Linked DNA regions of Caenorhabditis elegans. The protein of the gene in region 2 purifies or fractionates together with the protein of the main gene of each other region. This does not show direct contact. Each region holds a gene or a part of one and is shown on either strand. Other genes may lie near its edges.

What was found. The genes of interacting proteins can lie anywhere in the genome.
Region 1: the proteins of F13B12.1 (region 2) and spt-5 fractionate together in Caenorhabditis elegans (co-fractionation; one large-scale study listed by BioGRID). This does not show direct contact.

What each region holds. Positions count from the first base shown.
Region 1 is NC_003282.8:12,049,504-12,056,266, reverse strand, and holds spt-5 (Transcription elongation factor SPT5), read right to left. Parts: upstream 4,777-6,763; 5' UTR 4,771-4,776; coding exon 4,723-4,770; intron 4,594-4,722; coding exon 4,510-4,593; intron 4,461-4,509; coding exon 3,951-4,460; intron 3,902-3,950; coding exon 3,319-3,901; intron 3,273-3,318; coding exon 1,620-3,272; intron 1,569-1,619; coding exon 1,176-1,568; intron 1,121-1,175; coding exon 915-1,120; intron 867-914; coding exon 717-866; 3' UTR 521-716; downstream 1-520. Other genes in the region: K08E4.2 (Glycolipid transfer protein domain-containing protein), read left to right, coding at 1-49, 98-413; Beta-1,3-galactosyltransferase bre-5, read left to right, coding at 5,071-5,099, 5,197-5,293, 5,346-5,492, 5,543-5,731, 5,776-5,973, 6,027-6,335; T12G3.4 (Strictosidine synthase conserved region domain-containing protein), read right to left, coding at 6,408-6,763.
Region 2 is NC_003282.8:10,422,092-10,426,313, reverse strand, and holds F13B12.1 (IWS1-like protein), read left to right. Parts: upstream 1-1,678; 5' UTR 1,679-1,695; coding exon 1,696-2,063; intron 2,064-2,117; coding exon 2,118-2,957; intron 2,958-3,003; coding exon 3,004-3,205; intron 3,206-3,446; coding exon 3,447-3,572; 3' UTR 3,573-3,704; downstream 3,705-4,222. Other genes in the region: F13B12.2 (Major facilitator superfamily (MFS) profile domain-containing protein), read left to right, coding at 1-18.

The DNA.
Region 1 (6,763 bases), 1.6 Mb from region 2:
ATCAGAAACCAAATAGAAGCGGCACTGGACATTTGATGGTTCTTAACAGGTATTCGTGGATTCGTAGAAGAGAAAATCAATGAGTTCATCATTTCAGAGCTCTTGAATTCGTCATCGATTTGCTGGATGGAGTGTTCACGTCGAATGATGAAAATGTATCGACAATCGCTCGTTCTTCTTATGACAAACATCTTTCTCAACTTCATTCTTGGCCAATCAGAACTGCTGTCGCTGCGGCTCTCTACACTTTGCCTCGAAAACCAGAATTTCTATGTAGACTTCGTGGTGATATGCCAGAGGACGATGATAATCAATTCCATGATATTTTCAATCGAGACGGACGAGATATTGTGCGAAGAGTGAACAAACTAGTTGAAAATTTCGAACTAACTGATTATAATCCTTCAGCCTGAATCTCTTTACTACCCTCTTCATTCTTGATCTCACAAAAAATATGTTCTCTGAAATTAAACTTTTCATTATATCTCTTGGTTGTACAACAAGTGTATTTGTTTTTGAAAAAGAAAAGCAGCAATCATTTTAAGAAATGTTTAATTCAAATAAAACAGTGTATAATAAATAAATAAATGAACGATTTTCAAAGGGTGACACCAAAAAATAGACACAACGAAGTGAAACTCGTCGAGTGTCGAATAACATTTGAACAGAAAAAAGCGAAGAAAAATTGGAGAATAAATAGTAAAGTGAACAACTTTTCAAGTTTCGCTATGCATTTTGCAGCACAATCCAATGTTGATGACTCGCATGTCTGACATGTCTTCCTGTGATCGGATAACTGCTTCGAATCCATCCATGGAAACAAGTTGTCCACTGTGACCTGCATCTTGTCCGAAAATCACTCGAGCCTTAAAGTTAACATTTCATTTAGCATTTTCAATTTAATATTTTCTTACATCATCTCCTGGTTGCGGTTTCATTGGAGTTAGCTGATCGAAATCAACTTCCAAGTTGCACTTGTGATCTGGCATGTAGACATCCACTTTTCCATCGGTAACATCTTTAATGATCGCCTCACGTCCGTTGAATCGCCCTTCGTGGTCCTTGATTTGCACACACAGATTCTGCACAATCCACACACCTTGAGCCAGGAAGTGGTCCGCTAAAAATAAGAAATTAGCTTCACTATAATTCAAATAAAATCTTGAGCAACTTACGAATTTGCTCAATAGCTCCATCGGCATTGTTGTAGTTGTTACTGTCGTAGCCAGCGAATGGAGAAGGCGCAACATATTGATCGTATGCTCCTCCACTTCCTGGCGTCATTGGAGCAGCGAATCCAGGTGTATCAACGTGATAGGCTCCCGGAGTTGCTGGATTGAGCATTGCACCTGGAGTTGGCACAACGTACGAGTGTGGAGGAGAATCATAAGTTGGAGACGAAGTGTCTCCGATGTCTTCCTCAACTTTTGTAGCTGCATCTGGTTCGTATGTCGGGCTGCTGTTCTCATATGTGTCGTATCCTGGAGTACGGGACACGAATGCTGGAGTTCTTGCTGGAGCATTGTCATACGCTTCAGGTGCATCGGGCTCGTATGCCGGACTCAACGCTAAACAATTAAAAATTAAAAATTGCAAAGATATGTAATGGTTCAACTCACGAATATCATAATCATTATTGTATGCTGGAGTTCTGGCGGAATGTTCGGATTCTGGATAGGCTGGAGTCTTACTGCTTGAATCATAGTTCGGAGTTCTCGATGGCATACTTTCATAGCCAGGCGTTCTTCCAGAATCATCATATGCAGGAGTTCTACTGTTGTCCATTGATCCGTATGCTGGAGTCCGTCCACCTTCCGTACTTCCATAGGCAGGAGTTCGTGCACCATCAGCACTACCGTAAGCAGGAGTTCTTGAACTGTCATTTCCATAGGCTGGAGTACGTGATGATGAATGTTCATCAAGATCTCCATATGCTGGAGTTTTGCTTCCATATGCAGGGGTACGTCCACCTTCTCCATACGCCGGTGTTCTTCCTCCATCATAAGCTGGAGTCATCGAGCCATACATCGGTGTTTGTGCTCCATACATCGGAGTCTTCGATCCATACATTGGAGTTTTGCCAGAGTCGCGCATCGGTGTCTTCGAAGAACTGTAGAACGAGCTTCCACCTCCACTTCCAGCTGTTATTCCAGTGTCTCCGACAACCATCACACGAGCACGATCGACAGAAATCGTTCTGCATTGTGTATGCAATTCGACACGAACTGTGTCTTCTGTGGCATCTCGAACAATTCCAAAGTGGCCCTTCATCGGACCTTTGATGATTCGAACATTTTTTCCAATGAGGGTAAGATCACGACGAACTTTTTGTTGATTTGCAGTTCCAAAATGACCACCACGTCCTCCTCCTCCACCTTGTCTCGGAGTTTGTCCACCACTGCTTCCACGACTTGACATACCATCTTGTGGAGAACGAGGAGTCATTCCTCCAGAAGAATGTCTTGGTGATGCCATAGGATTCGGTGAAGCCATTCGAGAAACCATCGGTGTACTGGTTGTTTTCTTAGCTCCTTGTAAAATCAGTTGTTTTGGTTTGCAAACCAAGACTCCTCCATTTTTAGTCACTTTGCGAGAATAAACGAAGACAGTTCCACGGAACGCATAGAGAACTTCTCCAACTGGATCCTCATCGGTTTCCCGCTCCTTTGCGTTTGGTCCTCCAATTACTTTTACCAGATCTTTAGCCTCGATGGAATTGTTTTGACTGTCGAGAACTTTCGCAAATCGAACGTCTTTTTTCGCTATAATAGCTTGTGGCTTTATACGATTCACAACTCCGTGCATGTTGAGAACTTCCAAATGTTCCTTCTCCAATCGAACAATTACTCCAACATTTCCTGTATGGTCGAGCTGTACAAGATCATGATATTGGAACTGTCCCAGTGAGTCCACTCCAGTTGTCACATCAGCACAAAGTTGCAAATCTCGTACACGAACTTTCAATTCTTCCATTCCAAGATCAGACAAAACTATGGCTGTGCTATCTTTTACTCGGACAATTAATCCAGTATGTCCTTCGTATCGTCCACTAATAACCTTTGCATGATCTCCTTCCTTGAAGTATTTCCTGAGCTCATGAGCGTTCAAAGTGATTGCTTCTTTCAAATCTTCTTGATCTGGCATCATCACAACCTTCGTCCCATCGACCGTCATCACTTTACCCCGAAGATTCACCAACTCTCCAGCTTTCACTTCGACGATATCTCCAGGAACAAATGGATTTTCTGTGTCTTTGAGAGAAGCCGTTTCCACTGAAAAAAAGTATTTTTAAAAAAGAATAAAGGAATAAAAACTTACATTCTCTCTTGAGATCATCGCTAGATTCTTGGAACTTTTCGAGTTCTCCAAGAGTTGGTTTAACACCATCAGCTTGAATTGCGTTTATGGGGAAGTACTTGTAGAGGAATCCTCGCCGGAAATGATTTCCTTCAAATACTAAGAAGTCTCCGTCCGTCACAATTTCTCCTCCAACTTCTTTGATGGTATCCTGATCAAATAACTTGGGCATTGGGCGTCTTTTCAGCTTATAGTTTTTATCAGCATCAGTTCTCATTGCTCCGCGCCGCTTCTGATAATCGACACGGGGAATCAATTTCAGGTTGACACGGTTCTGAGCGATATCCACAAGATCAACGACAGCCAGATCATCTTTGTACATTGTTCTTTTCAAACGAACATATGATCCGAGTTTCAACTGTGGAATGTCTTTGACAACTCTCAATACATCTACCATATCTTTGATGGGAACCATGGTTATAGTGAATTGATTGAGAGCTGAAAATCCTTCAATTGCAGACATGACGTGAGATTGTTTGAACGCCTCGATATAGATCATTCCTTTGAGTCCTTCCTTGACGACAACTGATTTGATTTGGAATGGCTATAAATTGATTAAATGCAATCATTATTACGGGACATTTATCAATTACCTCGTTTGTGTGCTCAACCGCAAGACATTTACGCATCAGATGCATCGCTACGAGTTTTTCCTCTCCCATGCGACATTTGACAATCCACAGGTTAGGATCCTTCGTGGATGGAAGATGAGAATTTTTTGAAATATCATCCATAGCTGAATCTTCGTCATCATATTGACTGTCGTTTTTGTCACCCTTGTACTTGTTCTCAAAGTATTTCTGGACTTCGTCTTCCGTCATGTTTTGGAACTTGTACCGATCTCTATTCCGTTGACTCAATTCCATTTCTTTCATCGCACGCTCAGCTTCCTCTCGCTCGTTCATTGCATTCATGCTTGGATCGTCTTCGTCATCGTAATCATTGTCGTCGTCTTCGTCTTCGTCGTCGACTTCAACATCCCAAGCAAGAAAATCTCGTCCAGAAGGAGCCTTATTCTTCCGTTTCTGCTTTTTAGATTTCTTGCTGGTCACGTTTTCATCTTCATCGTCATCGTCGTCATCATCATCGTCCGAGCCACTTTTCTGAAAAACCGACAGGATTGTAACTTTAAAATTAATTGTTTTCACTCACCTCACTCTCTGAAGCAAGTTTCCGCTTTCTGTCCTTCTTTGAATTTTTGATTTCAACATCTGAGCCATCATCATCGCTCAAAGTCTGTAAGAGGATAAAAATCGATAAATAAGTAAAGTCGCATAATTTGTGAATTTTCCATGAAAGCTTATTTGTTATTTTCGGCGAAATCGATCGAATCTCAAATCATAGAGTGAAAAATCGATAACTAACCGTGTCTTCTTCTTTGTTTGAGGCTGCATCACTTTCGTCAGAGGACATTGCTAACTGAAACATTTAAGTAAATTTCAAATAACTTGGGGCAGAGAAATGAGGAGGAACGCGTGTGATTTAGGACAACGCTTAAAAATTCAGAAAATTAGGCAAGAAGTAAATCAATCAATTGAAAAAATGATTAACTTTATAGGTATAAATGATTAGAAGAAATTAAGCGCAAAAAAGAAGAAGAAAATGAAGAAGAAATAAATTGTCGTCGGTTCCGATGCCCGGTACGCAATCTGGTGTTCACGTCCAAAACCCACAACTTGCCGCGCATTAAATATATATTTATTTAACATTTTAATGTTTTTATGCGTGCGGATTTTGAAAAGGTAGGAAATTCTCTGTGGATACGCTTGAAAAATCTCAAAGCTTTAAGAAGTATTGCTTTGCTCTTCAATTTCGCATAAATATTTAATTTCATTTCAGAAAATATCATGAACTTTCTTCGTTTCAAAAGCTTTTAATTTTCACGATTACGATTTTTCTTCTATGGGTACTTGGAGTTGTGGATAAGTTTAGAGAGGTACTTTATACGCCAGAAAAAATTATTTAAACATAATGATTATATTTTTCAGACGAGTTTTGGTGACTTCAGTTGGCCACTGGAAACGCGTAATTTACAATTGCGAAGCAAGTTTACAAAATATCCACAGTGCAAATTTTCTGGCAATGGACAAAAGATTATTATTATTATAATCAAGTCAAGTGCGAAAAATGGACCGGTTAGTATTTGCAGAAAATCAAATTTCTATTTAAAAAAAACAATATTCAGATGCGAGAGTCAGTAAGAAAGACGTGGGGAGTGTTTCGAATGATTGATGGAGTCGAAGTTATGCCAATCTTCATTGTGGGAAGAGTGGAAAATATGGAGATAATGAGAAGAATTGATGTAGAATCGGAGAAGTATAAGGATATTCTTGCAATATCAGACATAGATTCATATCGGAACAATACCTTAAAAGTTTGTTTTCTTGAACACTTTTCTCAATAAAAACCTAATTTCAGTTGTTTGGCGCCATTGACTACGCTGCGAATCCAAATCAATGCTCTTCTCCAGACTTTACCTTTCTGGTAGATGACGATTATTTGGTACATATCCCAAATCTTGTAAAATTCGCAAAAACTAAACAAAAAGAGGAACTTGTTTACGAAGGCTTCGTATTTGACACGTCACCATTCAGGCTTAAGATCCACAAACACAGCGTAAGTGCTTCAAGTAAAAAAAAAACCTATTTCCAAATTATTACAAGTTACAGATTTCGCTGAATGAGTATCCATTTTCACGATATCCTCCATACGTCTCCGCTGGCGCTGTCTTCCTCACTTCCGAAACCATTGCGCGATTCAGAAATTCAATTAGAAAACTGAAAATGTTTCCATTCGATGATGTCTTTACGGGTATTCTCGCCAAAACAGTGAATGTCGCAGCAACTCATAATGAGAACTTCATCTTCTGGTGTCGACGAGTGTCTCAAAAAGAATGGGATGATGGTGTAATTGCAGTTCATGGATATGCCAGGAAAGATCTTGAATACGAGTATAGCCAGTTAAACGGGTTCGAATAAATTGTATTTTGAATTTTTTTCATATAATTTTCAACATATCAATAGAGATCGTAAGAAATAAAAATTAAATATTCAAAGTTTAGCTCGAGCAATATAATAGTTAACATCACTTCCCAGAAGCATTCTTCCTTTTCCATCGTCAATCGCAATTGAGACGGCTTCAACTCGTCCTGTTTGATCATGATACGACTCGATGATTTGACCAGTTTCCGTGTTGACTTTGATAACAAGACCTTCTACATCAGCGACATAATTAGCAACATATCCAAGAGCTTGTGGAGATAGAATTTTAGTGATAAATTCTCGAACTGATGGATTTTGTTCAAGGAATCGGTCTTCTTCGGAACGATGTGATGCGATTGGAATGAGAAGGTGCCCGGATTTTGTAAGACGAATGTTATCCGGATATCCAGGAAGATTTTCAATAA
Region 2 (4,222 bases):
GAACCAACTTTGTTTTGAATCGCTTTTTCAATAATTAAATAGTTTGTTTGTTTCCATGTCATAATAAAATACGTTATCTTTTTTGCAATATTAGCTATTGAAAAAGCAGATATTGAACCAATCATTCAAATCGAAGCAAACACTAAAATTTCCGATTCCGACTCAATTTTGGTGCTTCGCTAAATATATAGTTTATTACAGAAAAGTATTAATGTCACATTCTGCAAAATATGGAACCATTTTCTATTTGAAAACAGCTTTTATTGTAAAAAGAGTTCCCGAAACATCACATTTTTTGAAGAAAAATCAGAATTTTTAATTTTTAAAAACCCTACTGTAAGAAAATTGTGTTCAAATATGTACTGTTTCTCTTTTACTACAAATTCCGCATTTAGATCTTTTACTACGATTTGTCCACATTTACTACTCTTTTGCTACGGACGTACTTTTTACTACGTTATCCCATTTCGATCGTTTGCTACCGTAGACATTTTTACCACAATGACTGGGATCCTTTACTACTGATTTTTACTGCGAATTGAAAATTAATTTTTAAAGTGTATTCTAGATATGAGCAAGTGTATGAATATTTTTAAAAATACCTAGGTCACAATTGTAGTCTCAAATAATTATAATAAATTTCAGTTGTTTTCTTTTTGGAGTTAGTTAAGGGATACTGTTGGGTTACTGTAGTGGTACTGTGGTAGTAAGAGTTTTCAGATTATATCCTGTTTTTTACTTTCTAGAAATTTATTCACTAAGAAATGATCAAAACTTATTATGAACATTTGGCTCTAGATATAAAAACACGATATGATCTCTTGCTCTCTTGCAAAAAATCTAGAATCATTAAACAATATTTGCCGGTTTTTTCTATTCATGAATGTGGATTAGGGGTGGCGATAGGTCGCCACCGCAATATTGCAAGAGTTTGGATGCAGTTTGGGCCCCGGGGGCCTGTGGAGACGCAGAGGCATTTTTGCCTACAGACTACGACGCTCCGAAATCCCGCCGCGCGTGTTGTTTATCGTTGATGAAGAGACTTGTTTTTTTTCAAACAAAAAACTAATCTATTGTTTGCTGCCAGTTATCATATTGATTTTTCTCTTTTTAAATCAATTTTTCTTTAGTTTCAACAACATATCGAAAATTATTAGTTCTTTGCAAGTTCCTTCAAGTTGCTGGCGTTTCCGGGTGGAGAATTTTCGCAATTTTCATCAAATTCAAGTTTCGACTTTTTGCAATTCCCCGCTTTATTGTGTCATTGTATGTTTTTATTAGTGAAAATTAAAAACAGTGGAAATGTACATTGCATATTAAAACTCGCGCAGATATTTTATAAAAATTTAATGTTGTTTTTATTTTACATGTGCGAAAGATTTTTCCAGCACTTTTACATAACCCCCTTTAAAGGAATTTTCTCATCTTGTTGTAGTTTTTTTCGGGAATTTATATAGAAATATAGATAAATACTTTTACGTTCCGAAGATAACTGTACTTTCAATAAAATGTCTCAAAATCTGACTCAAAGTTACAATGTTAAATCAATCACTTTGGAATTTTTGCTCCTTTAATGTTCATTTTCAGAAATGTCTTCTTTGTTTACTCTTAATACGATTTCAATCCTTATTTTTAATTCCTTATATGTATTTCTTTCAAAGAAAATAACTTTTTCCAGTGTTCGAACTTTGCGGAATGTCGGACCACGAAGAAGAGTCGCATGGAGCTTCTCCAACATCCCCTGCTTCATCAGGAGCTTCATCCCCATTGGCTCCAATTTCTCCTCGCTCGGAAGGAAACGCCCCAGAATCACCATCGGGAGATGTTCAGGATATCTACAAGGATGAATCGTTCGAGGCTCCGGCTAGTCCAGCTCGTGACAGTTCTGCTCCAGCAAGTCCATCTGCCGCAAGTCCTGCTGGCTCAAGATCACCGTCACCATCGCCGGTCAAAACCAAATCAAAAGTTATGATAGACAGTGACGAAGATTCTGATGCGGAGGAAAGTGCGAACAAGCGAGCTTTGATAGACTCTGATGCAAGTGATGCAGAAGGAAAGAAAAGGTAAGAATTAAATATTGTCAACCTGCTACGTTTTACTAATTTCTAACATTTCAGAAGAGTAATGCTCGATTCTGATGATTCTGATCATGAAGGCACCTCCAAAAAAGAGCCAACCACAAAAAATCTTTTTGGTGATGACAGCGATGACGACGACGAGGATCGACCAAAAAAGACGAATGATTTGGATGAATTTGTGGAGGGCCGTGACGAAGAAGAAAGTCAGGAAACTTCAAAGCCTGCCTACGACAGTGACGACGATGATGGTCCAGTAGACAGGCATGGACGTCATTTTGAATGGGACTTCGATAAAATGCTCGCCGAGAAAAAGGCAGAACGTAAGAAGAAAACTCGTCGTGGAGGAAAAGACGGAGGAATTGATATAATCAATGACGATGACGGTACCGTTTCACGGCTCGTTGAAAGAATGAAACACGCGGCGAAATCTGACAGAAATGCAAATATTGAACGAAAGCCTGCTTTCCAGAAAATCAAAATGCTTCCTGAAGTGAAGGCAATCATGCTTCGAGCTGGAATTGTTGAAGTTCTAATTGAAAACGGCTTTATGAGTGCTCTTTCCGAATGGCTTGCTCCACTTCCAGACAAATGCCTACCGGCACTTGATATTCGTATAACTGTGCTCAAGTTGCTTCATAATCCACGATTTTGGAAACTCGACAGAAGTACACTGAAGCAATCGGGTCTTGGAAAGGCTGTCATGATGCTTTATAAGCATCCTAATGAAACGAAAGAAAATAAAGGAATTGCGAATAAGCTCATTGGAGAATGGGCCAGGCCAATTTATCACCTAGATACTGACTACAGTACCGTTTCAAGGCAAGAACGCGAAGAAAGGGATTATTCTAGAATGCCGGAGAAAAGGAAAAAGAAGATCAAGTAAGTAATAGTAGTAATTGAAATATTTTTTAAAATTAAATTTCAGCAGCCGAGATGAAGAAGAACCCAATGATGACGATCAACCGAAACGACCACGAATCAGGGATGCCGATGAAATGGGGCCAACGAAATCTGATGATCTGAAACCTGGAGACAAGGGATACATTCCAAGAGCACGTGTTCCTAAGCCATCTACCAAAGATTACGTCATCAGACCAGAGTGGAGAGTTACTGGAGCGTTCAAGGGGGTAAGTTTGTTTTAAAAATTGTAAATTTTTGAACATTCTTAAAATTACTACGTAACTATCTAAAAGTCAAATTGTGGAACAACCTCAAAACGGACCTATTTTTATACCGAAAATGTTTTCTACCGTAATTATAATGCAGATTTGATTTTCTCCAGTACCCTTTTATCATCAGTGGATACATTTTTTAATTTATGAAAAAATTCGAGATAAATTTTAATTTTGCTTCAATTTTGCGTTTCAGGAGAAGAAATCCACTGGTAACAACAGATATGATCAGACATTCCGCGATTTCCAAGAGAGAACCAAAAAATCGAAGGCAAATCGGATTGTTAAAGTATCTCTCGAAGGAAGAAACATGGGCATTTGAACCCGGAGTTAAACTACAAATTATTGTTTTATTTATTTACCTTTCTTTGACACCTTTAAAATGTTGTACTCTGTTTTCAACATGTAATTTTTTCTGTATCTGATCGTCTTGAATAAAATGTGTTTGTCTTTGAACTTTTTTATCGTGATTTGTATTCACTATTCTATTGGTTTTTCCTCAAAATCTCTATGCATTCTCACAGATTTCAATGATAAATTGGTCACAAACTAGCCGGGAGGACGGACGGCCGAACAAGTGTTTCATGACAAGTGTGCTCCTCGATGCCATCCTCCCGGTCCAATCACTTATCAACCTATCTGTGTCCTCTTGTATATTAATGCTCTCTATTGCGCCCCAACGAAGCATCCTGAAGATTTGCTCGCACACAAAGCTCGCCATTTCTCCCGCGTACCCTCCGCTTTCGATTCACTTCCATTCTCTCCATCTAAATTTTCTCAGTTTCCGGGAATTCAATGATTCTGTTGTTGTTGGTTTTATTTGTTATTAATAATTCACAATAGGTTTTGTTAAGAGGGCATGCATGGAATCCTGTTGAAATTGGCAAAAAAATAATAATGGAGGTTGTTTTCCTGTGAGAGACAGTGCAAAAGACACCAGCATCTCTAGAGTAAACACGAAAAGTGTTCATC